Caenorhabditis elegans: one gene and its partners. The protein of the gene in region 2 interacts with the protein of the main gene of each other region in a pairwise test. Each region holds a gene or a part of one and is shown on either strand. Other genes may lie near its edges.

What was found.
Region 1: the proteins of lin-40 (region 2) and lin-53 interact in a two-hybrid assay, tested with the Caenorhabditis elegans proteins (4 studies listed by BioGRID).
Region 3: the proteins of lin-40 (region 2) and lin-36 interact in a two-hybrid assay, tested with the Caenorhabditis elegans proteins (3 studies listed by BioGRID).
Region 4: the proteins of lin-40 (region 2) and lin-15A interact in a two-hybrid assay, tested with the Caenorhabditis elegans proteins (one study listed by BioGRID).

The regions. Positions count from the first base shown.
Region 1 is NC_003279.8:9,615,377-9,621,677, forward strand, and holds lin-53 (putative histone-binding protein lin-53), read right to left. Parts: upstream 4,385-6,301; 5' UTR 4,382-4,384; coding exon 4,226-4,381; intron 4,172-4,225; coding exon 3,588-4,171; intron 3,541-3,587; coding exon 3,027-3,540; 3' UTR 2,835-3,026; downstream 1-2,834. Other genes in the region: K07A1.10 (Large ribosomal subunit protein mL64), read right to left, coding at 1-204, 552-806, 859-941; putative histone-binding protein rba-1, read right to left, coding at 1,230-1,289, 1,340-1,526, 1,585-1,839, 1,900-2,051, 2,094-2,534, 2,582-2,725; nra-2 (Nicalin), read left to right, coding at 4,857-4,934, 4,980-5,131, 5,179-5,305, 5,364-5,907, 5,950-6,082, 6,123-6,301. UniProt on the Caenorhabditis elegans protein: Core histone-binding subunit that may target chromatin assembly factors, chromatin remodeling factors and histone deacetylases to their histone substrates in a manner that is regulated by nucleosomal DNA.
Region 2 is NC_003283.11:3,702,009-3,709,079, forward strand, and holds the start of lin-40 (DIOX_N domain-containing protein), read left to right. Parts: upstream 1-2,986; 5' UTR 2,987-3,003; coding exon 3,004-3,132; intron 3,133-3,199; coding exon 3,200-3,308; intron 3,309-3,369; coding exon 3,370-5,387; intron 5,388-6,022; coding exon 6,023-6,179; intron 6,180-6,892; coding exon 6,893-7,005; intron 7,006-7,071.
Region 3 is NC_003281.10:8,013,814-8,022,589, forward strand, and holds lin-36 (Protein lin-36), read right to left. Parts: upstream 7,061-8,776; 5' UTR 7,058-7,060; coding exon 6,959-7,057; intron 6,903-6,958; coding exon 6,804-6,902; intron 6,729-6,803; coding exon 6,145-6,728; intron 6,044-6,144; coding exon 5,923-6,043; intron 5,848-5,922; coding exon 5,309-5,847; intron 5,208-5,308; coding exon 4,799-5,207; intron 4,676-4,798; coding exon 4,271-4,675; intron 4,205-4,270; coding exon 3,747-4,204; intron 3,699-3,746; coding exon 3,632-3,698; intron 3,417-3,631; coding exon 3,309-3,416; 3' UTR 2,835-3,308; downstream 1-2,834. Other genes in the region: F44B9.5 (Lipid droplet-regulating VLDL assembly factor AUP1 homolog), read right to left, coding at 76-174, 595-783, 833-988, 1,033-1,219, 1,561-1,830, 2,386-2,533, 2,601-2,724; F44B9.2 (uncharacterized protein), read left to right, coding at 8,650-8,776. UniProt on the Caenorhabditis elegans protein: Required to negatively regulate vulval development. Antagonizes Ras-mediated vulval induction. Acts cell autonomously.
Region 4 is NC_003284.9:15,728,691-15,736,605, reverse strand, and holds lin-15A (Protein lin-15A), read right to left. Parts: upstream 4,639-7,915; 5' UTR 4,632-4,638; coding exon 4,353-4,631; intron 3,886-4,352; coding exon 3,796-3,885; intron 3,745-3,795; coding exon 3,307-3,744; intron 2,802-3,306; coding exon 2,697-2,801; intron 2,650-2,696; coding exon 2,482-2,649; intron 2,424-2,481; coding exon 1,344-2,423; 3' UTR 1,241-1,343; downstream 1-1,240. Other genes in the region: Protein lin-15B, read right to left, coding at 4,995-5,060, 5,110-6,183, 6,237-6,651, 6,699-7,915. UniProt on the Caenorhabditis elegans protein: Synthetic multivulva (synMuv) class A protein. SynMuv proteins are required to repress the induction of vulval development.

The DNA of each region.
Region 1 (6,301 bases), on a different chromosome or scaffold from region 2:
TCTGCTTCTTTTTGCTGTAGCATCACTTCGAATCTTGGATCTTTTGGATCCATCCAATATCCAAAGTATTCTTGAATGTCACGAATTCGTTTTTCAAGTGCTACTTCCTTTTCGTCTTTCTCTTGTTCTTGTTTAACCAATGAAGCTTCATATTTTGCAAGTGTTGCAGGATACTTTTTGAGATTTTTCTCGAGTTCAGCAATTCTGAAAATGGATTCAGATGACATATTTGTAAATTTTTCAGGCATTTTTGTGTAAAGAATTCGCAAAGACTAAAATTTCAAAAATGTCTTAAAAATCGATAATTCTATTTTTAATTTTTTAAACATATAATTGTCCGAAAATTTGACAAACGGTGTTTCAAATAAAATATTGAAGAAAAAAATCAAGGAAAGCCGATTTCGTGCATGTCAGCCACTTGCACGAAATTCAAAAACAATTAATTTTTGCCCTATTTTCGCAAAATTGAAGCAAAATTATCGAACGATTCTAAATTTTTTAAAGTTATGTTTTAAAATGTTGCTAATTTTGAAATTACAATTAAAGTATACCTCGCTAACTCTGATTCCCTCTTCTTTTTCTGTAGTTCTTTGTATTCTTTCTTAGCATTATTAAATTCTCTGAACAATCCAATGGCTTCTTCTTCCTCAATTTCTTCAGCTGTTGGGAACAGCTCTTCAACTGGTACACCACTTTTTAGACCATATTTTCCGAATCTTTCACGACGAGATGCTCGTTCACGCTCAGAATCAAATTGAACCGGTGGCATCCCACCAGCAGCAATGATTCGATGACGGGGACGTAGACTAAAAAAATGTTTTTTTTTGTTTTTTGAACATGCAAAAAATGAAAACTCACAAACTAACATCAACCTTCGGAGCGATTTCCTCACTTGAATTTGTTGCAAAACTTCTTACCAAAAGTCTCCAATTTCTCAACATTTTCTTTCTGGATAACCTTGAAATATGTTTAATCAATATATTCCTTATCGTAAGAAAATAAGCAATGTAAACCGACTAAACATGGTTTCGCAAGTGCGCCCCATTGTGAACACACTATTTTTCAAAGTAAATATTTAGTGGCAGAGAAAACCTGAGAAATTAATTCTGAATAGATGAACACAATATGAAAGAAAATGAAAAAACGTTCATTGATAGGAATGTGATTTTTACATTCAAAGATCAGAAGTGAGAAAATTAGTAAAATTCGACAAAGTGCAATTTAGACGATTAAATCATTTCGGTCTCCCATTTTTCCGACGAAACTAAACTGTTTGAAACTTCCCACACCTGAAAAACCATTAAATAGTTATGATTAATTTTTTGAAAATAATTCTTGCCTGTAATGCATTAAATTCGTCGCTGCTGCAAATAGTCCATGGGCGGTTGGGATTCCAAGAGAAATCTGCAACTTTTCCAGTATGCCCAGCGTGAATAAAAATAACTTCTGGTGGAACAGAATCAGATGATGCAGCTGATGAAGACGATGGGTCTTGAATTTTAGAAATATCCCAAACGATAACCCGACTGAAATTTTTGAAATTTCATAGGTTAAACAAATACAACTTATTAGGAAAAAACTTACTCATCCGATCCACTACTAGCCAGAACAGTTTCATAATGCGGGCTGAACGATACTTGAAATATTTCGTCGTTGTGATGTTTCAGCGTGTACATTTTTTTGCGCATATTCCTCATATCCCACAAAGCAACCGTTTTATCAACAGATCCGGTTGCTAAAATGTATTCGGAAAACGGATTGAAAGTAATACAATTAACTTCTGCAGTATGTCCGACGGCTGTGAGCTGTGGCTTTGATTGACGCAGATCCCATAGGTTTCTAAAGACGTGAAAATTATTTTGAAATCTCGACAGAATGGTATGATGTATTTATACTTACAGTTTTCTATCATCTCCAACAGATCCAAAAACGAAATTATGGAGCGCGTGAAAAGAAACATCCTCCGCATTTGATGAATGACCTTTAAACTTGCTTTGTGGCACTATTTGACCGGAAATGGTCTGATTCGCGTTTATATCCCAGTGGCAAATCTTAAAAAATGTATATTTATGTATATCTTTTGTTAGAAATACCATTCCGTCATCGCCGGCAGTTAGCAAATGTCCCTCTCTGGTGTTGCTCCACGACATTCCATATCCTTCGCCTTCATGGCCTTTCAATCGCAATTGAGGTCGAAATTTGGTGTCTTTTGGTTCAGATGGGTGCTTCGTGTAGTCGAAAATATAAACGTCATCAGAAGGACCTCGACTTGCAATAATGAAAGGATTATGTGGCATGTAACGTGCCCTATGAACTTCTCCTGGATGGTTGATTTTAATCTCAGTATCCCATTTTGCAGCGCTGCCCTCTCCATAACCTCCGAACTCTTCACGTTCCGAATCCCATTTAGCGTCGTCGAATTCTGGTGTGTCTGTCGTTATTGTGAACTTTGAGATCATGAGATGATTCTGAACTCCTCCACAAGTATGTGTTCCATGAATCATTCGATGCATCGATGAATCCGAGTTCTCTGTCTTAAAAAAATAATGAAGAAGGCGAAATCATATTTACCGATTCTTACTTTTGTGACATCAGGCATCCATTGCACTGATAAAGAAGGCCACTCGACCTCTTTTGTGACGACTGTATCGTAGAGATATGGAACATTTTTCTTCCAAATTCTATGTTCTTTACTCGTTTCTTCACACGATTCAGCTTCACTCATTGTGCTCTGAAATTGCCTGAAATAACAAAAGATACAACAAAAAACCAAAAATATCACAATCTGAGCTATCACAACAATCACGTTAACATAATATTTCAAAACAGTTATCTGACAATGGTCATCGAATTTATTTCAGGTTCAACAAAATATGATCATATCTCAAGGTAACATTTTAACTTTAAAAACTTAGTTGGTGAAGAATATGCGTTTGAATAAATGGTAAGATGAACAATTTGTTGAGATGCAAAATTAAAGAAGGATAGAAGTTAAATACAAATAATTTAAGCGCGTTTCACGTATTTTACTGTTGTCTCTCTACCACATCGGCTGGAGTTTCTTCGTCAACTTCGTTGTATATGTTATCAGCCATTTGCCACACTTGGAGAATATTGTCTTCTGACACACTGCACACAACCCAAGGCTCGTTCGGGTTCCACGAGAAATCGCTGATCTTGGCGGTGTGCCCACCGTGAATAAACAACAGCTCTGGTGGACCATCTTCCGCGTCTTCGGCAGATTGGTCTTCTCCAATCTTAGATAGGTCCCACACATGAAGACGTTTATCAGTACCGCTGGATGCAAGAATAGTCTCGTTGTGTGGACTCCACTGAACTTGGAAGATTTCATCACGATGTGATTCAAATGAGTGAAGTTTCATTCGTAGATTACGTAGATCCCAAAGAGCGACAGTTTTATCAGCTGATCCGGTGGCCAGAATGAATTCGGAATATGGATTGAATGCGAGACAGTTAACTTCGGCAGAATGAGCATCGATACAGTGTCCAGGAGTGCTTGTGCGCACATCCCAAATGAGCCTATAATTTTTAATTAGTTAATAAATAGAAAAAAAACAAAAGCTTACAATTTCTTATCGTCACCAACCGATCCGAAGACACCATCATGCAAAACGTGCCAAGCAACATCTTCAACGACTGACTCGTGACCTTTGAAAACATCCTTCGCTTGCAATTCCCCGGCAACATTCTGATTTGCGTTGATATCCCAATGACAAACTGTCTGATCATCTGACGCTGATAGAATCAAACCTTCTTTGTTTGGATTCCATGATAATCCATAGCCTTCCTTCGTGTGTCCTTTCAGTCTGATAAGCGGATTGAACGTGTTATCACGAGGAACAGCAGAGTGCTTTAAATAGTCGAAAATGTAAACATCAGCATGTGGAGACTTTGTAGCAATGATATTCGACTTTTGAGGCATGTAACGAGCTCTGTTAACCTCCCCTTCGTGGTTAATGCGAATATCGGGTTCCACTTTTCCGTTAACAGCTCCGAAACCACCGTATTCACTGCGCTCGGTATCGTAGCGAGATGCATCAAATTGGGCATCATCCGTTGGCATACAGATCTTAGAAATAAGCAAGTGATTCTGCTCATCTGAAGTATGAGTTCCAAGAATGAGCCGATGAATAGTATGGTCGCTGTTATCCTAAATTATTTGAATTCACTTCATGAAAGTTGTGAATTATATGAGAACACATACCTTCGCAACGTCTGGGAGCCATTGAACACTGAGTGAAGGCCACTCAAGCGCATGTGTCATTACGAGATCGTACAAGAACGGGGTGTTCTTTTTCCAAATTTTGTATTCATCATTTGCGACGCGATCTTCGGAGGTTCCATCTTCAAGAGTGGCCATTTCCTGAAATTTTCAATTTTTGCAAAGAATAATTATCGTTCAAACAGTGTAGTTAGATAAAATAATACAACAAAGAAGGGGTGAATAATAAAATATTAATTCAATTGAATTTAAATATATTAAAACAGAGAATTTTAATGCGGGAAAGTGACCAAAACTGTAGAAGACCGATAAAACCCACTTTCAAAGTGTGTGCGCGTCGCGGTTTTCGCGGGGAGGGGTCTCGCAACGATTTGCCTTCACCGCTGTTGCAAGGTACGGTAGAGCATGTTTGGCTCATTTGAATTCCGCTCAGAAAACTCATGCAGTTTTCTCCCTACTCGGGTATTATATATCATCAATTCTGGTTTAATTCTATCGATTTCTGTAGAATCATGATAGTTTGTGTTATTAAATAATTCCTACTCCGAAAGATCTTTCATCCTAATTTGCACAGGATTCTCGTGATTTTGAGCTTAAGATATGTTTTTTTCAGATGCAGGATGAAATCATCGATTTTTTCCGAAGTCCGGCTCTTCTTTTCTACATGACTTTAATGTTAACCATTTGTGTAGTAAGTTGTTGGTAATGATTTAGAAGATGAACTCTCCATATTTAGGTGAACGGGTCCCAGCAAGTTGGAGAAGTCGTAGAAACCGAGTTTCATGCGTACCGTCTTCATCAATACGAAATCAGTGGTAACATTTATGGATGCAAAAATTATCGCGTATCATATGAAGCTGTTTCCTTGGGTGCAAGAACTCTTCGCAGGTTTTTTTGGATATTTCATTTGTAAATAGTAATATTTTAATATCTAGAACTATGGTTACAACATGGCGAGATCTTCTTACAACAGATGTCGATGACATGTGGGCACTTTCTACCGGTGCCGTGCTTATTTTCATTCCCGACAATCTTGATGAACTTAACGATATTGATCGGAAGGTTAGCTTGAACATTTAATTTCATATTGCCATAAAAGTTATTTATGCTCATTATTCAGGCATTCATCGATCTTGAAGCAAAGTTGTTGAGCGCAAAGACCGACTTGGCTGTTTATGTGGCTCCTTTCAATGATGACGCCGTTTCTATTCTTCACGATGTCAATACTCGCTCGGAAAAAGCTCCCACAGCCCTGCAACATTTGCTTCAATCACTTTCCGGAAACACAATCAGTATCACTTCTTCCGATCAAAGTCCAGAACTTCCACCTTCATACAAACCACTGAATATTGTTGGTCGCTTGAGTAGTGGAGATCGTGCTGCACCTACGATTGCATTTGTGGCACACTATGACACACAATCGGCCGTTCCAGGAGTCTCGCCTGGCGCTGATTCCAATGGGTCTGGTATAGTTGCACTTCTCGAATTGCTTGCTGTTCTGTCAAAATTCTATGATTCTCCAAGCACACGTCCTCCATACAATATTTTGTTCATTTGGACAGCAGCTGGAAAGCTCAATTATCAAGGAACTCGTCACTGGATCGATGAGTACCAGAAAGGCTTTGACAGCGCTGATTATGCCAAATCTGGACTTTCTAGAAAAGGTAATGCAGTAAAAGGAGAGTGTCGTTTTACCGGTTTTGAAGGGTTTTCAGATGATCGTGTTGACTTGGCAATATGTATTGAGGCAATTGGTCGCAAAACGGGAGGATTTTTCATGCATGCTGGAAAGACACCATCAGAAAATTCAGTAGCAGCTCAACTTCTCAGAAGACTTAAGTACTGTTTTAAAAGTTTATTGATTTTAATCGTTCGTAAGATATTTCAGCAGCATTTCTCCAAAGAAGAATATAGAGTTGGTAACGAAAAAAATCTCTTTGACGACAGTAAGCGCTTGGGAACACGAGAAATTTAACATCAAGAGAATGCCAGCTATCACCCTGTCTACTCTTCCATCTCCATCTGATCCAGCTCGTAATTCAATTCTTGATCTCCCAT
Region 2 (7,071 bases):
AAAATATTTTTCGGTATTTTCCGAAAAGTCGATTTTTTTTTGTTGAAATAACGGGAAAAAATCGAAAAAGTTCGATTTTCCGCAAAATTTAAAAAAATTCAGAAAATTAACCATAAAAACTGATTTCAAAAAAAAAGAAAAATGACCTAAAAATTTGTGCAATTGCCCGAAAAATCGAAAATTTTAGGAAAAAATATTTAAAAATATGCTCATTTTTCCAAATTTATCGGCCTTTTTTGCATTCTAAAATTATTAAAATTTCTCTATTTTTCGCCCAAACTGGTTTAAAATTAACCGAATTATTATCCAGACGCAAAATTTTGCGATTTTTGCTCCAAAAAATGGTCTCGACACGACAATTTTTTGTTAAATGTGGTGCGAAAAAGTGCGCGCCTTTAAATTTTTCAAACTTTTGTTTCTGCGGAAATTTATTGATTTTTCATAGGTTTTCTCACGATTTGTTCAAATTCAGAAAAACTAGGAATAATCAATTAAAATTCTGCAAAAACGAAAGTTTGAACTCACAGTACTCTTTAAAGGTGCGCCACTGTTCGCATTTAACGAAAAATTATCGTTTCGAGACCCGTACCGTATTTTTGGGCGCAAAACTGATTTTTCGGTAATAATAATGTTGTTTTTCACTCGTGATTTGGAAGAAGCCACAGTTTTAAGCGTTTCCGTCTTATAAAAAAATCCTATAATTCCGGCAAATTGATATCCGGCAAATAGGCAACTTGCCGGAATTGAAAATTTCCGGCAAATTGACAAATTTATGGAATTGAAAATTTCCGGCAAACAGGCAACTTGCCGGAATTGAAAATTTCCGGCGAACAGGCAAATTTCTGGAATTGAAAATTTCCGGCAAATTGACAAATTTATGGAATTGAAAATTTCCGGCAAACAGGCAACTTGCCGGAATTGAAAATTTCCGGCGAACAGGCAAATTTCTGGAATTGAAAATTTCCGGCAAACTGGCAACTTGCCGGAATTGAAAATTTCCGGCAAATTGACAAATTTATGGAATTGAAAATTTCCGGCAAACAGGCAACTTGCCGGAATTTAAAATTTCCGGCAAACTGGCAACTTGCCGAATTGTTGAGATATTTCTATTCACCCTGGCGGTTTCCCGGCGCAATTGTATTTATTGTCAGGGTGGCCTTTGGGGCATAATTTGAATTGCCATCGTGTTCTGTCGTCTCTTCGATCTGCACACTCTCTCGTTGTCCCACTCTCTGTCACTCTCTCACTCTCTCACTGTGGGGGCCTATAACTCGGCGATGTACTAAATTTGAATGTAGTGTATGCCGCCGCGTTTTTCTGCAATTTATATCGAAAGCGGTCGATATTTTCTCGATCGTCCCGACTTACAAGCCTATTTTGCCCTTTTCAGCCTTGTAGGACTGTTTTGAACTGGATTTTTTCAATTGCATTTCAAAAAAATAGGAAAATCTGAAATTTTGCCGATTTTCTAGCATTTTTAGAATTTTTTGCTACGTTTTCAGTAAGTTTTTATGATTTTTACGTCAAAATTGGCAATTTAGCTGAAATTCATAAATTTCGGCATAAAAATCATAAAAAAACAACGGGAAATTTATCAAAAAATACGAAAAATTCCTGAAAATCGGCAAATTTCCGATTTTGCCGGCAAAATTTTTGATTCCAAGCGGTTTTAAATGGGTTCACTAAATTCTGAGAATGCTGCACAACACATTTGACGAGCAAAATATCTCGTAGCGAAAACTACAGTAATTCTTTAAATGACTACTGTGCGCGCTGGTGTCGATTTACGGGCTTGATTTTCGTAAATCGACACAAGCACTACAGTAGTAATTTAAAGGATTACTGTAGTTTTCTTTTTCGCTACGAGATATTTTGCGCGTCAAATATGTTGTGCAATATGCATTCACTAGAATTTTGTGTTCCCGTAATGGTACCTTTAATAAGTCGGGGGAGCATCCTTCCTGCAGCCTCTTCTCTCTTTTCTTTATATCTCTCGCTCTCTCACTCGTCTCCATTCTGCCCGTCCGTCTGCGTCTCCGTGGTCTCAGTACTATTTCCGACGCTTTAACCATTCTTCCGAGTGACCCCTCCCCACCTATGTCTTCGTCTCTCCCTCTGCTGCTGCTGCTGCTGGACGTTCCTCTTGTTTCTGCGTCTCTCCATGTCTCTCGTTGTCTGAATCTATCCTTTTTTCTAGTTGTCACGGCGATTTATCCGAAAGAGAAGGACCGTTTTCTGGATTTTTTTTGAAATTTAATTTAATTTTTAAAAAACTAATTAATTTCCAATTTTAAAAAATCTATTTTGTTCTTTTTCAAAAAAAATTTTAATAGCGCAAAAAATGCGGATAATTTTTAATTATTTTTTCACTTTTCAGATGATATCGATTTTGTGCACTCAAAAATTATTCGAATTTCTCTATTTTCCGCTTAAAGCTAAAAAATTTCAAAAAATTAATGCTTTTTTTACCGAATTTAGAGTTTTCGCACTGTCTCCTCATTTTTAGTATTTTGGTTATTATCCGGACGCGAAATATTGCGCTTTTTGCTCCAAAAATACGATACCGGGTCTCGACACGACAATTTTTTGTTAAATTCGAACAGGTGTGCGCCTTTAAAGAGTACTATAATTTCAAATTTTCGTTTCCCCGGAATTTCAATCGATTATTCCTAGTTTTTCTGAATTTGAACAAATCGGTGAGAAAGCCTTCGAAAAATCAATAAGAAAAATTCCGCAGAAACGAAAAGTTTGAAATTACAGTACTCTTTAAAGGCGCGCACTTTTTCGCACCACATTTAACAAAAAATTGTCGCTTCGAGACCATTTTTAAAGCAGAAATCGCGAAATTTTGTGCTTTTTGGGCGAAAATGGAGAAATTTAAATAATTTTGATAGCAAAATAAAAACATTTTTTTAATGTAATTTCTCGAATTTTCGACTTTTCGACTAATTCGACTTTTCCCCAAAAAATCCTCCAATTTTTGCAGAGCTTTAACGGGTCACGATGAGCTCATCATCGTTGTCGTCAACATCAACTCGAGTCACGTACGCCGTCGGCGATTTTGTCTATTTCGACGACACGTCGGCCACCGACGCTCCATATCAGATCCGCAAAATCGAGGAGCTTGTCAAGGTTAGATTAGTTGGCTGGAAAAAAAGCCCCAAAAGCCTGAAAAAGCCCAAAATTTCTCAATTTTCAGACAGAAAAGGGCGGCGTGGATGCGCGATGCGTCGTCTACCTCCGACGACGTGACATTCCACAACATTTGCTGAAAATTGCCGATCAAGCGCAGAGGCGATTCGATAATTGTGAGCTTTTCCCCAGCTTACTTTATTTGAAAATATTAAAATTCAATTCAATTTTTTTCAGATTACGAAGTGGATAAGAAGAAGCCCGAGAATTTTACCACAAAAGGATTTATCGTTGTCAATGGAGCTTCTGAAGCTGCTCCAGAAGCTGCTCCAGAAGCCACCGAAGCTTCTGCGGAGACGTCTGAAACAAAAGTGAAGGAAGATACTGATGACGTGGCAGAGAAAATGGAAGAGGACGAAGAATGCCCGGCCCCGGTTGGGCAGGGAAGAACCAGCTCGACTGAGGAGCCATCGGCGTCGGATGCTCCAGCAGCGACCGCAAAGGACAAAAAAGAAGAAAAAGAAGCCAAGGAAAACGCGAAAAACCTCAAGGAGACTGCCGAAGCAGAAGCCACGAAGCTCATTGACTGGGGTGATGGAGGCCTTCCGCTCGGAGTCGACAAGCTCACCCCGGATCAGAGGCTGAAGCTCCGACAGCATGAGATCTTTATGACGAGGCAATCGGAGATCCTTCCAGCAGCGGCGATTCGTGGAAAGTGTCGAGTCGTTCTTCTGGGAGATGGTGAAGAGGCTCAGAACTACCTGCCTCTGGATGATACCTTCTATCATTCCCTTGTCTATGACCCGAATGCGCAGACTTTGCTGGCTGATAAGGGTGCTATTAGGGTTGGCGAGAAGTATCAGGCGGTGGTGGATGAGTGGATGGAGCCCGCCGATCGGGAGGCGAAGGAGGCGAAGGTGCTGGCCGAGAAGGTTAAGAAGGAGGAAGAGGAGGCAAAGTTGAAGGCTGAAGCCGAGGAGGACACTGAGAATGATGGGTTGACGATCGCCGAGGATGAGGAGATGCCGGAGCTGAAGAATGAGGAAAAGGAAGAGACCAAGGTGGAAGAGGAAGCTACCACCACCGATTCCGAAGGTGAAGTAGGTGAAGTCCTCGTCTGGCACCCGCACCACGCTCTCACCGACCGTGACATTGATCAGTACATGATTGTGGCCCGATCAGTCGGCCTATTCGCCCGAGCCATCGATGGAGCTTCCGCGCCGAAGCTTCCGACTCTTCAGCTAGCCGCCGCCTTCGCCTCCCGTGACGTCACCATCTTCCACGCCCACGCGATCCTTCATCAGGCCAACTATGATGTCGGGCAGGCTGTCAAGTACCTGGTCCCAGTGGCCTCTCGAGACACGTACCCGTGCCAGGTCGATGATTCAAGCGGCCTGCAGACTAAGACCCTTGGCGGACCGATTTTGTGTCGGGATCAGCTGGAAGAGTGGTCGACGCCCGAGATGAATCTGTTCGAGGATGCGCTGGATAAGGTGGGCAAGGATTTCAATGAGATCCGCGCCGAGTACCTTCCGTGGAAGTCGATTCGGGACATTGTCGAGTACTATTACCTTATGAAGGCCTCCAATCGATACACAGATCGCAAGAAGAACAAGCCATCGGCGGGTGGTGGAAGCTCGACGACGACGGACGAGAAGTTCACCAACATCTACATTCCGCCGTTCAACAAGCCGATCGCCGCCTCGATTCTTCCGTACAACACTAGCCAGACGACGCTGATGAACAACGACAATCCGTGTGAGAATTGCGGGACGCTGGACGCTCTCAACTGGTATCAGTGGGGAGGTGTCGGCGATAAGAAGGTTCTGTGCTCGACGTGTTGGATTCAGTGGAAGAAGTTCGCCGGGCTCAATCAGAAGCACGAGCTCGAGCGGTTCGACAAGACGCGGCCGCCACCGGTGGAGCCGGTAGCGCCGACGCCAGCGGCCTCAAATGGAACTCCAGCTTCTCAGAAGGCGGCTGCCACGGCGGCGGTGAACACGTTGACTCCACAACAACAGCAGCAGCAGCGCGCTGCCGCCGCCAACATGCTCATGACGCTGAACAGTGGTGATAAGCAGAATTTGTTGAATGTGGCAAAGGAGGCGCTGGCACGTGGCCAAATCACCCAGGAGCAATTTCTACAGCTACAGAAGAATTTCGCTCAGAAAATCCAGGCACAAATTCAACAACAGATTCAGCAGCAGCAACAGCGGCAGGCGCAAACGACGCCGCAAGTGGTCGCAACGCCCAGGGTAAGGATTGGTTGAAAATTGCACGAAAAATCAAAAAAAAAAATTGAAAAACTCAATTTTGGCCAAATTCCCACCAAAATGAGCTACGACCAATAAATGATTCGCTCCGCCCATTTTTCAACCAATCAGCGTCGTCGAATACCGCACATTCCTATGATTGGTTGGAAAATGGGTGGAGCTAATCGCTGATTGGTCGCAGGTCTAATTTCGGAGGAAACTCGGCCAAAATGGTAAAAAGCTCAATTTAGGCTTAATTCTCTTCAAAATGAGAACTGCGACCAATCAGCGATTCGCTCCGCCCAATTTCAAACCAACCAGCGCCGCGCATTCCTCTGATTGGTTGAAAAATGGGCGGAGCTAATCGCTGATTGGTCGCAGGTCTTATTTTGGAGGAAACTCGGCCAAAATGGTAAAAAGCTCAATATAGGCCTAATTCTCTTCAAAATGAGAACTGCGACCAATCAGCGATTCGCTCCGCCCAATTTCAAACCAACCAGCGCCGCACATTCCTCTGATTGGTTGAAAAATGGGCGGAGCTAATCGCTGATTGGTCGTAACTCTCATTATATAGAAAACTGAGCCAAAATCTTTAAAAAACTGCATTTTTTTCGTTTTTAAACCCAAATTTTTTCCAGAAAAAGACGACTCCAGCCACAAAACCGGCCATCGTCTTTTACACGACAATCTGCCGACGAGCGGTTCGCCGGATTTTGCCGAAAAGCGCGTTCAACCTGAGAAAATTGTCCCGTCGGCCGAACCTCGCCATCGATGATGAGAAGATCCTCAGAGCTAGTGAGTTAAACCCCGGAAAATTGAAATTTTTAGCAAAAAAATCGATATTTGGCGTGTTCTGAGCCAATTTTGAGCCATTTTTGCATGGTTTTCACACTAAAATTGAATTTTTTAAAAGGAAAATTTTGAAAATTTCGGTTTTTTACGCCTATCTGCCTAAAAATTGCATTAAAACGAAAAAATTTGCAATTTTTTACCAAAATGTCGATTTTTTTCAGAAATATCGATTTTTACAACCGAAAAAAATCCAGAATATTACCCAGATGTTGCAATTTTCGCACCAAAATTACGGTAGCGGGTCTCGACGCGAAAATAAATTTTTTGTTGAATGCGAAAATCTGTGCGCCTTTAAAGGGTACTGTAATTTCCAATTTTTTTTTTCTGAATTTTATGCGATTTTTAATCAATATTCCTGTTTCTATCGAAAACACCACGAAAATCGATAAAAATTGTGAAAACTACAGTACTCTTTAAAGGCGCAGCACACTTTTTTTTGCATTTCACCAAATTTTTCGTCGTGTCGAGACCCGCCTACCATATAGCATATTTCCTACCATACCTACCTACCATATTTCCTACCATTGCCTACCATATTTTTTTTGCTAAAAAAATTCATTTTTAACATTAAAACCATGCTAAAATGTGGTCCAAATGACAAAATAATGAAATTTTTCGAATTTTTTGGCTCAAATCTGATTTATACAAATTTTCAGTGATTATGCTCGACAAGAAGCACCTTCTGCAGTCGGCGCAGGCAGCCGCAGGCGATAAGAGAAGCCTGATTGTCGAGTCGGAATTCCATAAGGGAATCACACATTTACAACACGTAAGTCTTTTTTTTGTGGCAGCAGGGCGCACATGCATACACACAAGAAATTTTGGATAATTTTAC
Region 3 (8,776 bases), on a different chromosome or scaffold from region 2:
CAAAGGAAATGACAAGGCATGATGACTAAAAGGTTTTAAAATCCAAAGAAAAATCGAATAATCTAATTTGAAAATTTAAGAATCGCGGTTCATGTATTTTTGGCGATTAACTTCGATCATCTGCCATTTTCGATTGTCGAATACTCCACGCCACGTACCAGCGTCCAATGTAACCTGAAAATTGTTATTTAGATATTCTTCATATTTAATGTCAAAACTACGATACCTGGGTTCGACACAACAGTTTTTGCTAAATACAAAACGGATGTGCGCCTTTAGAGAGTACTGTAGTTTCAACCTTTTGGTAGCTGAGGTATTTTCATCGATTTGTCATATTTACTCTCACGATTTATTAAAATTTATGTTTTTTATTGTTTTAATTTAGTTTTTCCAATAAATGAATGTATTTGTGTCGAACAACTGAAAATCGATGAAAATTCTGTCAGCTACGAAAGTTTTAAATTACAGTTCTCTTTAAAGACACACGGCGGTTTGTATTTTACAAAAAATTGTCGTGTTGAGACCGGGTACAGTAGTCTTAGGCTTAAAAATCTCAGTATTTCTGGGCAATTCATCGAATTTGTAGTTCCTAACCTTTCCAGTTTGACCATCCGATGCTGATGATGAAATTTTACCAGCTTTCAAATTATTAACAGTTGTAGTTTGACTACGAGTTTTCTCCAAATCACGTCGAATTGCAGATAAATGGAATGATGGAAATGATTGTTTGATTCTCATTGCACATTCGTCCATTTGACGAGGATCCGCAAGTCTAGGTGAAGTCTTGAAAATTTTCATTTTTTAAAGAAAACAAATTATTGGAAACAAATACCTTCTCTCTAACGACAACTTTTTTCGCACGTTCTCTATCTGTTCTAAGCCGTTTTGCTGCTTCTGTTGCGTCCGAAATTCCAAACTTTGACACTGCAATCTTCAAATTTCCAGCCAACGTTTCGGCAACTCGGGCGGTGAATTCTTCGAGTGATTCCTAGAAATAATTGTTTTTATTTGGAAATTCCAATTTTTCTTTACATTCTCTCGTCTTTCCATTTTCGGAAGATATTCGACAGTGATAACAGTAAACGGAAGTGCAAAGAAATAGAAAAGATCAGTCCACCATGAAGAACCCAATACTGAAACTGAAACTTTCCAAGGATACGGACGCCACACACGCACTGAGACGGGTTGAACTACTGAAGACACCTCGAAACACCAAGTACTGAAAATTTAGTAGATTTGGGTTCGAGATTCATGATTTTTGCGCCAAAACTACGGTACCCGGTCTTGACATGACAATTCTTTATCCGACAAAAAGTGTGCGCCTTTAAAGAGTACTGTAATTTAAAATCCTAATTTATGCTGAATTTTCATCGATTTTGCATAGTTTTTCATTAAAAATGTGAATTTTATATTTTATGAAAAAAACTATGAAAAATTGATGAAAATGCGTAAAAAGATTTTTAGATTTTTTTTCACAAATTTGTAGTGACAAACCATATTTTTAGCTGAAAAATCTTGAAATCGAAATCACAAAATATTTGGAAAGTTCAAATGACATACTTAAACTTGATCAATGCCTTTTCTCCACTAGTAATAATTCCTTCTGGAAATGCGAGAAGTGGCATTTGTTCTCTGGTGAGTAGTTGTTTGGCTCTACTGACAAGTTGATCTCTTCCACGTGTTGCTCCCAAATCTACATATCCAAAACACCATCTAATAATCGATGGAATATCCCAAACAGATGGAAGAAGGCATGGAGTAAGAATATCAACTGCTAAATGATCAAGAATTGATACATGATTGGCGCACAAAACTCGAGCTGATTCATCTCTGAAAATCTTTTTTTTTTAATACTAAGAAGTTGTGAATATCTCGGCAAGCAAAAAACATTTTAAGGAATAGTTAGTGACCTTTTTTTTTTAATTTTTTTTAGATACACTAAAAATTACCGAATTTCATTTTGCAAAAAAAGTACAGCACCCGGGTCTTGAAAAACTTTTTTTTTGTAAAATATAAATGGATATATGGAACTTTTGTTGCTGCGGAATTTTTGAAATCAATTTTTCAAAGTTTTTTCGTTAAAATAAATTTTTAAAACTAAAATAACACTTAAAACACATTGATTTTAACAAAAATCGTAAGAAAAACTATGAAAAATCAATGAATCCACAGTAACGAAATTTTAAAGCTACCGTACTCTTTAAAGGCGCACATGTTTTTGTATTTAACAAAAAAATTGTCATTTCGAGACCAGGTACCTCACTTTTGGGACAGAAGTCGCAAAAAAATTTGCGCCTGGGCAATACGGCAAGCTTCCAATTTTTCAGTAACTTGTTTCTATTTTTTTGGAGATATCAAATATTTTTCAAAAAAAAAATCACAAACCTGTGACCAGATTTTTCAACGACAATTCCGAGAATTGAGCACATAATTCGAAGAGTGTGCATTCTCAAAGCAGCAGATTTTCTGAGTAGACATGCAACAATAAATGTGTGGAAACCGAGGAAAACACGAATTAAAAGAATAATTAAACCTGAAATTTTGATTTTTTAAAACTTTTACTTTTTGGAATGTGTCAAAAAATTTGAAAAAAATCTCACCAACTGGAGCATAAATAATCGAAAATATTTTAGCAATCGTATCTTCATTTCGTTTTTGATGGAATAAATCTTCGATACGAAGATCTTCTGTATTTCCAGAAGACGATGCTTCTGGTGATGCCATTCTAAATTTTAGGATTTTTTTAAATTTTTCATGGTTTTTTCAAAATATAATGTTATGGATAATCAGGTAGCCTATAGAAAAAATAATCTGAAAACTCTTTTCAAAAACCTACCAAGCAAAATCATTTATTTATTGACTTTTAGTCATATTTGGCACACAAACGCACATATCTTTCAAACTTGAATGTAATTGAAAACTAGGGAAACGTTTAAATAGACTTTGGCTCATTTTTTGTGAATAATTCAGATTAATTTATGATAGAAAAAGTGTGGTTTTTGGGGAGGGGGCGGGGGCTTATGGAAAGTAAAACAAACTATTAATTTTGGAAAGTAAATTATAGGGGGGAGGGGGGGTAAAAAATGGGAAAAAAGTAAATGTGAAAATCCTAAAAATCTAGACGAAAATCTATCCTAGTCGGAGTTTTTATCAGATTTCAAGAATTTCGAATGAAAGTAAAATGGGATAACTTCTGTGGATATAAAACAGAGATAGTTCACATGAAAGAAATGTGGGGCGATCCTCGAAAGGACAATTGACTTTTGAATCTTGAATTTTGAGGCACTTTCTTTGATAATTAAAAATAATTATTGTTGAGAATCCGATGATCCTTGTCCTGGAAATTGTTCTTGCTGCTGTTGTTGTTGTTGTTGTTGTTGTTGAAGTTCACGCCATTTTGGATCTTTTTTGGTGAGCTGAAAATCATAAGAATGAAACAAACTGATTGATAACGCCAAATAGCGGAGAAAACATGTTTTTAAAATAAATTGTGTTGTGATCAGTGATTTTTGATGTTTCAATCGGAATTTTTTCAAAGCAAATGGTTTCAAATTGAGAACAACATAAATAAAATCTTTTAAAAAACGAAAATTGTTACTAAAATTCAGAATTGAAACTAATAAAAACATACCACTTGTGCTCCATCGTTAGAGTAGAAAATTTGATAATCTTCAGTCCTTTCGCCAAACAGACGAGCTCTGCAAAAAATTAAACGATTTATCAAAGTAGACCTCCCATGGGCTCACCTGGCTCTCGCAGCTTCAATTTGCCGGATGCAATGACGGGAAAGTCTCATGTCAGCGCGCATTTTCGTCACGGTGCGACATTTGATAGCGTCTTCCATTGCTCTGTAGTAATGAGCATCTTTCATCATTTCTTTTGAGATTTCTTCCATATCTTGATCTTTAACTGTTCCACTTGAACCATCCATCTCAAGAGCCTCTGCCAGCGTAAGCATCGGTTGCCTCTCGGAAGATGTTGAAGAAGTGGCAACATCTTCAGACGATGAGTTTCCCATAGAATCAATGACTTCTTCGACCATTTCAACTTCCATATCCGTTGCTGGAATCAGATACTCATCAGAAACAACCACCGGAGAAGATGCTGAGAAGTTTGGCGATGACTCGTGATGGGAGAGTGTTGGTCGTGGAGTTGATGTTTTTTTTCGTGGTGAAAGGATCAGTGGTCTTCGGGAGAGCACACTCTGAAGCAATAAATTAGAAAAAATATCAAAGTCTCCTAATAAATAATTCTAATATATTAAACTTACCGGTCTCTTAGCAGGCCCTTTTTCTTGTGCAACAGCTCCCATAACTCTTTGAGAAAAGATCCCGCCAGGAGAGGATGAAGTTGGTGGTCTTGATATGACTCCAGAAGATAATGAACGTCCTCCACCAAGTGATGCAGTAGCTGTGAACGATTCTAATGGAATCTGATATTTAGCCATCGAAGGACGAACTCCAGCAACAAAAGATCTCGCGAGCATTGATTTTAGAGGGCGTTCTTCCGGCTCTTTTTCTACTGGTGCCGGTTTTGCGACAGGAGTTGCTGGTTTTTCAACTTTTTGAACAGCACTCTCCTTAGTTTTCGATCGTGTATTTCTGGCGATAAATTTTTGACTTGTTGTCGGTTCTGGTGTCTGCTCCGAAGATGTCACTTTGTCTTCTGGCTCCGTCTGAATAAAAAACATTATCCTAGTAATTCGAATTTCAACATGCTACAAAGTAAAAGAGGAATTTCAAAAGTTACAAATTAAGTTCTAATCTATTATTTAATAAATTCAGTAAATAAAACTCACCGAAGAAGTAGCAGCGATCCCTTTGGCCAAATTATAAGCCAAGGCCTTTCTCGGCTTCTTCGTTGCTGCTTCTTGTTTCTTGAATTGTTTGGCATTGATCAATCGCTTAACTTGCTGAGATCTTTTCTGAACCATTTTGGCAAATTGTTCATCTCGTTCCTTCAAACGAAGACGTTCACGTGGATCATTTGGTGAAACTGTTGGTTCTCTCTCTACACTTTCAGGAGTTGGATCGTGTTCTTCTTCGTGTGAAATTTTCCGTTTCTTAGCTGGAGTTGATGGAGCTGTAGCAGGAACTTCGTGTTTTGCCACCTTCTTGATTGGTGAATTTGTAGCGGAAGTTGCGAGACGTGTTGCTTTACGTCGTTCACCAGATCCCATTGGAGCTTGTGGAGACTGATGGGAAGTTCTAAAAAATTTAATTGCTTCTTTGATTTCCATTTAGTAAGATTTTTTAAATTTCGTTACGCAGGATGTTCTCTAACTCGAACATTTTTTGACAAAACTTACAGTTCAGAAACATCGTCTGACTCTTCTTCTGCATGTTTTTTCTGACTGCTCTCTTGCTCCTTCGTTCCTTGAGCCGATTCTTCTGCTTTTGTATTAATCTCTGCTTCTCTTCTCAATTGCAGAAACACTTGTCGCTGCATTACGTTCAGATCATTCACACTTGTACCACCTTCTTTTCCAACAAACGATAATGTCCTCACTGCCTTCTTTCTCTTCTCTTCATCGTGAACCATTTTCGTACGCTCTTCTGGATTTTGCACGTAGGCTTTTTTCGTTGGTGAAGGTGTGAGTACGATTTCATTTGCTGGTGGTTCACAGCCGTGATATGCCACATAAACGTTGCGACGAGTCCAGTTATCCCAGCTTTCCGCTGGATCCAACTCAGTAGCGCGGCAGTTCATTTTAGCGAATTCATATATTCTACGAAGATGACAATGATGAATGGGGCCAGCATTCAAGTGACGACGATATCCAGATATTGTCTTGTAACCATATGTGCATTTTCTACAGAATGGGCACATGAAGCCAGCTTCTGGGACCTGTGAAAAATATTAATTTTTGTTATAAGAATTATGTGATAAAATAAGAGTATTAACTAAAAAGCTTGAACTTACATCCAAAACATTATCTTTTTTCTTGAGCATTTCCTCCGTGTGATTGAGAAGATGTGTCTGAAGCTCGACAACACTGCACGAGTGGAACTCACATACGGTACAGACCCATGGCACTCTGGAACTTTTATAAAATCGTGAAAGAGGATGTTTTAGCCAAAAATCGAGCTAACATATTCATTCACAAGCTTTTTCGTTTCGAGCAGAACCAGCTTTTCTTCTTACCTTTTTTTACTCGGTGTCGTCTTAACGTCTGGTGAAATAGCAACAGGAACTCCAAAAGCTTCGATGGCAGATTTGTTGAAATTGTGATTCCTGAAGCACTCCTCGGCGAAGTGCTCAGTACAAATTGGACCGGCAGCAATTGAAAACGATACAGGACCCATTTTACTGCGAAGAATATCTTTGTATTTGAATCCAAGCAAATTTGCCCAAATTCTGCGCCTATCCAAGTCTGCTGGGAAGTTTAGATGCATCTCTCCCGATTTCATTACTCGATTACAAACTGTACATGGCTTATGAGTCAAATTGGAGTATGGAGAAAACTTCTTGAAATGATCAACAACATATATTCTCAGTCTCCCATTTGACATCCGGTACACTTCTAAATGCTCTCCATCTGGCGGAGTTCGTGTCATTCGGCTTAAAGTCTCCGGAATAACTTGGCACGGAAAACTGGAGTAGACACTTTCGCCTTTGCCGTGGATAATTTCTTCTCTTGGTTGTGACGACGAAGCTTGTTTAGTTGGAGTGACTTGGCTTTCATCAAGAACTTCACCACTTGATGTGACAGTTGGCATTACGGGAATCTGAAAATAAAATGATGTATTCTATTCCGGCCAATGGGCACATGCATTAATACGAGAATGAAAATGTAAACGTACATCGTGTTCGTCCTCATCTTCTCCTATTACGTCAACATCACCCTCAGTTTCCTGCAATGCGTCTACAGTTGAGGATTCTTCACCAGAATGCTGTGAATCCTAAAAATGCATTGATATTCATAAGCGGCGAGAATGTTTCTCAATTATCACCATACCTGTTCAACTGAGTGCACCGTCACGTGTGAGTCTTCTGGTTCTTCAATATCATTATAATCCCTTTTACTGGGTCTAGTACTCAGCAATTCTTCCGACATTTCCTGCAATCAAATATTTTTGGAAAAGCCTTTCTTTTGCAAATTCTACACATTTTGAGCACAAAAACAGAAAATACAGTGAATTTAATTGTTTAAAACGCTCAAGAGATACAAATAATAACGAAAAACATTGATAATAAGTGAAAAATGAGTCGAAAGTGTAAAAATCGATAATTGTCCGGCCAATTTTTGTACAATTCTGGCTCCCACTCATCTGATGTACGCAAACACCGCCACGCGCGGTTGCGTACTTTTTCTATGACGTCTCTCCGTTTGCTACGCTCTCTCGCCGAACAAGCGACTTGGAACTGGAGGGACGTTGAATTGATGATATCAATATGGAGACAGGTCATTTGTATAAATGATTGACACCAATTTATCCAAAATACCACGGAGATAACACCAGGAGTTTGAGAAGTACATATTCGTTAACAATAAGTGATTTAAAGCAGGGGAATTAATTAATTACAACGGGAACATCATAAGCTTGGAACATTTCGTTGCCAAATTAAATCGAACGGAAGACAGTTTTCTCTAGGTTCAGGTATAGTAGAAGCTTGAGCAAACATATGCGTATAGTAAGTGATGTTTACTCAGGTACTCATATTCTATTAGATACCGTACCCCGAAAACTAGAAATAGGATTTCTAGTTTTCGGGGTACGGTATCTAATAGAATGTCTTCCAGAAACGATTATAACAGACACGTAATCTGGGTGGAATGCTGAAAAATAATTCTGATTTTTATTTAGAAAAATTATTTCAGAAGATGCATCTTCCTCTTAAGATGCTCTCAATTTTTCTTCCGTACACAATTAAAAATCATAATCTGGTGACAGCTCATACAGAAGCGCAATTCTTGCCCTGGCTTGTGAAGTGATTACATTTTTCGAAAATTATAATGTATTATTCGTCTGAATACAATACTTAGCACGAGCAAAAGATTTCAAAGATGACAAGTCATTAGACATCTCTTCATAAAAGCGATTACGGTATAACTTCTTATTGGGAGTCGACTTAAACCCCCAAAGACAAGAAACACATTAAAAAACAAATAGTGAAAAATTCTTAAACTCAATAACAAACAATCAGACTACCGTACTCACACAAATGAAAGTTTTCTGCCATCTGTACTTTTAATATCCGGCCTCTCTAGGGAAGCATTTGTAAAAAAATTGTTTCATGGTTTAATCAAGTTACAATAAATTGTAGCTCGCGTAAATGTTCATGCATGAATCTTAAATTTCCAGGTGTCAATTTTCCAAAAACCTATCTTCACTTCTCAAGTCTAAAATCTCTCGGATCCCTTCCTTCTCCTCCCCCGATTTCACTGATCAAGTCCGTGTGCAACTCTGCGTATCTTCATCTTACACACTATTCAGTGTTTAATGCTCACTCAGGCGGGCTCAAAACAGTGTAAAAATGGCCTCTAAACCCTCTTCCGTCGTTCTGCCAATTTCTCTATTGCCAACAAAACAACCAACATGCCATCCATATCACTACTACTACAAGAGTTTTTTTTGAATAAAACCAATCTCGCATACTTTTTCTACTTTATGAAGCATCAAAACTCAGTACAATTTCTATTTTTAGATGGCTGACGATGAAGATGATATAGTTTGGATTCGTGAAGATACAGCTCAATCATCAGTTCCAACATCTCCAACAACTCCAGCAACTATCATTGAAGCTGCACCTGTATTGAGTGATGCATTTGATA
Region 4 (7,915 bases), on a different chromosome or scaffold from region 2:
GTGTATGAGATTTTGACAGAGAGATAGTATGTATGTGAAAATGAATAATGTATGAATGAGGGGTGAGCGGCAAACGATTTTTTTCGGCAAACCGGCAAATTGCCGGAATTGAAAAATTTAGCAAATCAGCAAATTGCCGGAATTGAAAAATGTGGCAAATCGGCAAATTGCCGGAATTGAAAATTTCCGACAAATCGACAAATTGCCGGGATTTAAAATTTTCGGCAGATCGGAAATTGAAGTTTTGCACAACAAATTGCCGGAATTGAAAGTTTCCGGCAAATCGGCAAGTTGCCGGAATTGAAAATTTTCGGCAAATCGGTAAATTGCCGGTATTAAACATTTCCGGCAAATCGACAAATTGCCGGAATCGCGAATTTCCGGCAAATGGACTGAATTAAAAATTTCCGGCAAATCGGTAAATTGCCGGTTTGAACATTTCCGGCAAATCGACAAATTGCCGGAATTGAAAGTTTTCGGCAAAATGGCAAATTGCCGAAATTGAAAAATTTTGGCAAATCGGCAGATTGCCGGAATTAAAAATTTCCGGCAAATCGGCGAATTGTCGGAATTGAAAATTTCCGGCAAATCGACAAATGGCCGGAATTGAAATTTCCGGCAAATCGGCGAAATGCCGGAGTTGAAAAATTCCTGCAAATCGGTAAATTGCCGGTATTGAACATTTCCGGCAAATCGACAAATTGCCGGAATTGAAAGTTTTCGGCAAAATGGCAAATTGCCGAAATTGAAAAGTTTTGGCAAATCGGCAGATTGCCGGAATTAAAAATTTCGGGAAAACCGACAAATCGCAGGAACTGAAATTTCCGGCAATTGGCCGGAATCGAAAATTTCCAGCAAATCGGCAAATCGCCGGGAGTGAAAATTTCCGGCAAATCGGCATCTTTCCAAAATTAAAAACTTCCAGAAAATCGGCAAATTGTCGGAATTGAAAATTTCCGGCAAATCGACAAATGGCCGGAATTAAACATTTCCGGCAAACATAATTTGCTCTTTTTTGGAATTGCGGTATGTTGTTTTATCTTTTGGATACGGGTTTCAATCAATAAACACCATTAAATTTTTTTTCTGAAAAGACGTCAACAAAACCAACACGCACAAAACACTTTTCTAACCTGAAAAATTCCGTGTGACCGAACAAAAATTCATTGCAAAAACTTTTAATTTCAGACTTCCTCCTCACGAAATGCGCTAAACTCGAAATTCTTGAAATAGTTTTGATAACAAGTAACATATTTATAAGATCGATTGTGATGAGAAAAAAACAGTTTAAAAAAAACATGAAATTGAACTAAAAAGATAATAATCAAAGTTATCAAGAACGTTTAAAAAATTGGCTCAGGCTTTGGATCCATGAGCAACTCTTCCGGCTTCTTTTCCATGTGCGTTGGCGGAATATGTTTTGGCTCACTCGGTGCGGCGGCCACTTGTTTCGCAAGGTGAGGATTTCGGTTTCTCACAACTTTAATCATGCGTCTTGGTGAGGCAGATGTTGGCTGATTTAAGAGATCCGTTTTATTCTCTACCGATTTTCTTGTTCGGTAACTCATTGAACCAAATGCAGTCGTTAACATTCTTCCTAGACGGACCGCTGGTTTCTCTACGTTCGTTTTGGTTGGTGGTTTTTTTTCAACGGGGCTCGAAGATTCCACGTGGGTAGGTTTGTTTTGAAGAAGCGTAGGTACTAATTCTTCTTCTTCTTCTTCCTTTTGAGGCGCCCCAAATGATTGACGTATTCCCTCCATCTCGGATGAGCTTGATGAGTCTGTGGACGTAGAAGGCTGGTTTTGTGCACGTGGCGCTGTAGTCAATGCGTCTTTAAGAGTATTAGTGCGAAGAACGACATTCCCTTGAACTACAACTTTCGGAGGTCCGGTTCCGTTTTCAAAACGCAAGTATTTCTTTCCATTGACAACACAGAACTTTAGTGGCGCAGATGGCGGAGTGGGGGAGCTTGGCTTCTCACCAAATGCATTACGAGCATAAGAAACTTTGGATTTGTGCAAAAGCGCCTCGTCGGCAATTGAATGACCTTCCAAAACACGCGTTGCTAGGTGAACATAGTCAATTGGAGTTTTCGTTTTTTTTGCGTTCCATGAGATACTCGATGATCCAGCATCATCCTGTTCAGGCGAATGAAGCTTTCGCTTTCTGCGTTCTACAGTGTTCTGCATCTCACTTTGATTGGGAATATACGGTTCACTAGGTGCATCTTCACTGTGATCTCGATAAGCTTTTGCAGCTGCAGCAGCAAACTTGTTGTCAAGAATATCCTCGATTTTCCGTCTCCGAGATGTGAAACGATTATCTTTCCCATTGATGAGTTGAATGAGTTCTTGCTTATCAGCATCACTGAGGCTAAGATTATGATTCAGCAACTCATTTAGATTCGTCGATGGAGGCACCTTAAACGAATAATTTTTTAAATTTTTTTAAAATTTTCACAAGTGTCACAAGACTCACCGATTGCAAAAGCGCAACCAGCTCTGAGAACGGTTTGGGAGACGGTTTACTGAGAGACCCATTGACCATCCTTGGCACGTGGTTACGGTAATAAGATTTAATGGAATTCTTGAATGAGTAAAGCGGAGTGTTCGACGTAACCTTCCCTTTGTGCAGGTCGCCGACTCTCTTAAAACATTTCACCGTTGTAGAACAACGAGATATGACAATCAAACCTTCAGTGCTCTATAGATATCATGGCCACGCATCAATCTGTCCGGTGGCATCTCATTGATCTCGCTTTCCGTTTTAGCTTCAAAGGCGTCGCACATCATTTCGTACTGAAAAAGTGGTGTATGGTTTTTTTTAAACTAAAATCTCTAAACTAAAAGGGGGCAGGATAGCTCAGTCGGTAGTGGTGGCCGCTAGCAATCTGGAGGTCACAAGTTCAAGTCCAACCTCACCACCTAGGTTTTCATCCAGCCTCTATTGGTAAGTAGAGCAGTCCACGATAGGATTATCGGCCACAGTCCCCGGCTAGGACGTGGCTTAAATTATAACTCAGTGGGAGCACCACCTGAATCCCAGATCCGTAGTGCATAGGACTTGAAGAACGGATCGTCCTTTAATTCTTGTTTTCTAGTCTAATGTATTAATATCGATCACATATATAAAATAAAATAGAGGTTGTACTAAACAAAACACCAAAAATTTTGAACTTTTGCCATGAAAATTATAAATAAAATTAATAACTTTTAAATTAGAATTTATGTTCTAATCAGCTTTAGAAAAGTTTTCACAGCTTTTCAAACTTAACTATTTTGAAAAAAATACTGAACAACTTACTACAAAATCAACATGATCATAGCACATCCTTAGCCTCTCATGACGAATCGCTTTCTCTGCAGTTGCCATTCTAAAGTGGCCAGACATCACTGCCGCCATCAAAACTTTCACAGCTTCGTTATCAGTCATTGCAATGCTTTCTCGCATTAAAAGAGCCTTCTCGCAGAGTATGCACGGAGTCAGATAGGTACAATACGTGTAGTCACTCGGTTGAGATCCCTCTCGTGTGGCACGGGGTTTCGAGGGGCTGGGTTCACTTGGAAAGTGTGAAAAAATTTCCGCGCTACTTTTGAATTGTCCCTTGCTTGCAGCCGCCGTCAGAACATCCTTCACGCTTTGCGTTGGTGTTGAGTTTGGAATTGTATTCGCAAAATGCTTCATGATCGAAGCAGACTCAGCTGATTGTTCTTCAGTTGCTGAAGCTTTTTTCTCTTGGAGCTGAAACCATATACGCATTATTATGAATAATCTTCAAACATTTCTGCTTACCAATCGAACAGATTCCATTGACTGGGTAGGTGTTTGTATTGTCTTGACTTTTGGAATTGTCTTTTTTTCAGCTTGTACATTGGAGTTTGGCTGAAACATTGAAGATAGAACACTTCTTATTCAACCTTATCATGATTCAAAACGACCGAATATCATAATAAAACACTCCAAAAATTTTTAGATCTTTCATAATTTCCAGTCAAAGTTTTGGCATATTGCCAAAACTATGAAAAATATGAGCTTTTGAGGAAATCCACAGCAATGTCGCATGTTCCGACCCCAACAATGTTTTAATACAAGTAGGCAAAACAAAATTGCATTTTAAATGTAGGAGAACATTTTTTTGTCGACTTCCAAAATTATGATTGGCAAACACTGAATGATTGTCACTTTTTGACAGTAAATAAAAAATTTTCAAAAAATGTTTGAAAAGTTTTATTTTGATATTTGGTCCTTTTGGCACTAAAGGAGTAGTTTTTAACAATTTCCCCACTGGCGCTACTCCACCTTTAACTAGATATATCAGAAAATGGGAGAAAATCCTTAAAAAGCCATACCTCTCTTTTGACACCAACAACAACTGCGGCAATTGGGTTGAAATGCCGGACGAGCTCCTGGAAACATGTGAGCTGCAGAGCATCCGTTCCAATGCCGGCACTTTTAACAAACTTCATCGCTAGGGCATTGCATTTCTTGTTGAAAGCCATCCGATCGTTCGCCAAGCTTGACATTCGCATAGCATCAACGTTTTTCATTCGAAATTTTCTTTTCGCAATGATTTCTTCTTTTTCATCTGCCGAGACAACATCTTTAGCTGGAGCCGCTGGAGCCAACATTAGGAATCTGAATAAGTGATAGTGTATGATAAGCAAGATAGGAAAGTAAAGGAAAATTGTCATTTGGTGATGTGAAACCATTTGGAAAGAATTAGAAAAAAACCAGTTGGCATCAAATTTCGGTGAACATTTATAAAACTGATATAAAACTACAAAATATAAAAATGATGAGATCATCTCATCATTGTGAGGTTTCAGATGAATGATGATTAAAATAAATAGGTAAAATAAAAGTGGTAATTTTAAGGGCAATCAAAGTAACAGGGTAAAACTATGCGTATGACTTAATCATCAAAAACATCAATGGAGAAAAAATTATATATAAAAACAACAATCAGGAACGGTGGATGAAAATATTTCCACTTATTCGTTGCTGGGTGGTGTGGGGGTTGGCAGCTTATTAGCATCTTTGCGCGGTCGTCCGACTGGCTGAAAAAATATAAAAATAATTCAAAGCATATATTTTTCAAAAACTCACTCTTCCAGCAATCTTGGGCTTTTTAACAATTGGAGATTCTTCATACTCTTCCTCCTCCTCTTCCTCATCAGCAAAAGCAAAGCTTCGTCTAGCAACAGCTTGTCGAATCAATCTTCCACTTGGTGTTTTTTCAGGCACGTATTCGCAATCTTCGCCGACAATTTCTCCGTCTTCGAGTTGTACGTAACCTTTCTTAAGTGCACGTCGTTGAGATGTTCCCGGATTGTAGTCGTAGTCGGTGAGGCTTTTTTCAGCTTCTGGTGTTACACTATTCTTGGGATACTTCCTTGGGCGCCCTCTTGGGTTCGGAGTATGAGCAGGTGGTGTTACCAAGTTAAGAGGTCCATCCTCGTTTGACAACTCCCGCTTTCTATAGGTACGTTTTATCACTGGAGCATTGTTGTAAACTGCTGCTTGACTGGGCTCGTCGTCTGAAGTCTCTTCCGTTGGGGATCTTGACATTTCTTCATATTCCTCTTCTTCTTCTTCTTCCTGAGTATATTCAACACCGTCGGGGTTTAACATATTCGCCAAATCAATGGCTGAATTCTTATCAGTTCCAGACTTGCGCTCTTTGAGTTTGAGGAAGTTGTTCCCTTGAATGATATACGTGGTCTCAACTTTTTCTGGAGCAGCATCTGGAATCATTCCTTTCAAAAGTCTACCACGACTGCTGAACGCTGCATCTGGGAAATGGCTTCGGCAAATTAGGTTTTCCGTATTGGTGTGAAGTCGGGCTTCAAATTCTGGTCCAAGCTTATCCACCCATCTAGCCAAACGTTCCTCACTTCTCGGGACACGAAGCATTCCACCTCGGTCGCCACGTTTCGAACAGAAGCAGCAAACGCCCGGATTGTCGCATTCCTCATTTTCAGACGGTTTGACAGTTGGGAGCTTGAAATCTTCCTGCTCTATAACCTTGACAGTTCCGTCATGCTGATCAGCTTCCAGAACTTGCTTGCGTGGCTGGCGAAAGAGTTTCGGTATGATTTCTTGCTCATCCACATCGTTTCTCTCTGGCTCAGGTTCGGGCTCGCGGTAGTCAAAGTATTGTTGTCCAAGTTTCTTCAATTCCTAAAAACAATTAATTTGTTTCAAAATGTGCAATTTTAAAAACGGAAACTTACCGCTGGCGTTTCACGAAGATGATTATTTCTTTCGGCAAAATCGTGAAGAATCTTTCGAAGTTGTGAAGCAATAATGTGTGGACGGAGGGCGGAAACAGTGATCAATGCGTTCTGAATCAAGTCCAATGGGCAAATCAGAATATCATCGGCAGATTTCAGACGTAGCATCTGGTAGATCTCGTCGAGGGTCTCCAGGAAATGGAGACGGCAAATGTACGTTTTGCTCTCACGCGCCATGAAAAGCTGTGCCTGTCCTAGAGTAAATTCTCCGCGATAAATACAGCCCAACATAATCAACAGCTTTTCATTTTCAATCGTCACATTCTTCAGACGCTCGTGGATTTCCAAGTGACCACATACTGCACAGCGACGGTTGCAAGCTCTGCGCTTCTGGAATTCCATAGTCACACGATGCCTGAAAATTGGAAATGAAACTGAGGTTCAGAAAAAAATATAGGTTACCTTGCAAACGCATCTTCTGCCGATGCGTCATTGAGATTATCACTGTACATAAGCCGTTGAGCCCCAATTAAATTGTCATAGTCGGGTTCTCCGTTGAAATCGTCCAGTGGTTCCAATTTGAAGTCATCCCTCTGTACTTTTCCATTGATCGAAGAAGGTGCTCCTGACTTTTGTTCGCTGTTTGGAAGCCTCAGCGCAGCTCTCATGGGTACAGTTTGGTTGAGCCTGCCTGTGTGGTCTTGTGAGTTCAGTGCATACTTGTGAACAAAATTTTGCTTTTGAGCAAACTTCTGCACAAAGTTGTGTGAATGAATTTTTTGTGGAACGGTGCCTTCACTTGGCCCACATCGGATCAGTTGCGCAGTGGTAACATGGGATCTAGCTTGTGCAGAAGTTGCAGTTGATGGTGATGAGCTTTGCGACGTGGGTAGTTTTGAGGCCAGTACTACAATTTTCCGTGGATACGAAGATGGTCCTTGTGAAGAAGCAGTCGTTCGGTTTGGCACCGGATCAGTTGAAGGATGATTAAAATCGTCTTCATCCAGTGGTTCATCCTTTATTTTCTCCAGCAGCGCTACGTCTTCAGTTTCTTTCTTGATTTCCTTTTCTGGAATACTGCAAACAACAGCTTGAAGTGTGATAGGTTTCGGAGCTGGTGCTTTGATAAACTGTTGTGGAACAGTTGGCCTTGGCACAATTGGCACATTGGCTGGTCTCGGTGGCAACGGCCTCACTTGCAGCGGAATCTGCCTGATTGGAACAGCCTTGAGTTCTTTCCCATTCAACGGGATTGGTCTTCCTTGAGCCAGTGTTCTCGGTGGAGGTGCTGCACGAGGGCGGATGATTGTTGGAGAGGACGTCGCTGGGCTAGATGTACTTTGCAGGTTAGCCACTGGAGGCTTCTCTTCTTCTTTCGGCACGTGTGGAATGTCATAGTTTGCAACTGTTGGCATCGGAGGGTAGTGATGGCCGACAATGGATTGCACATCTCGATCAGAAGAGATGTTGTCAACTCCGTGTGCATAAAGACCAAGGTGAACCTGCTTCTGAAGACGACTTGCAGTGTTATTTAAAGTCTCAATCATTGATTGAGAAATGACATCCACCGATGCTCCTTTTCCACGAAATGTTTGATAGTTTCCAGCAAGTGCCAAGCAGTTCTCGAGGCGTTGATGAGAGTAGGTGTGGCAGATGTGTTGGAATTTTCCACCGTTCCC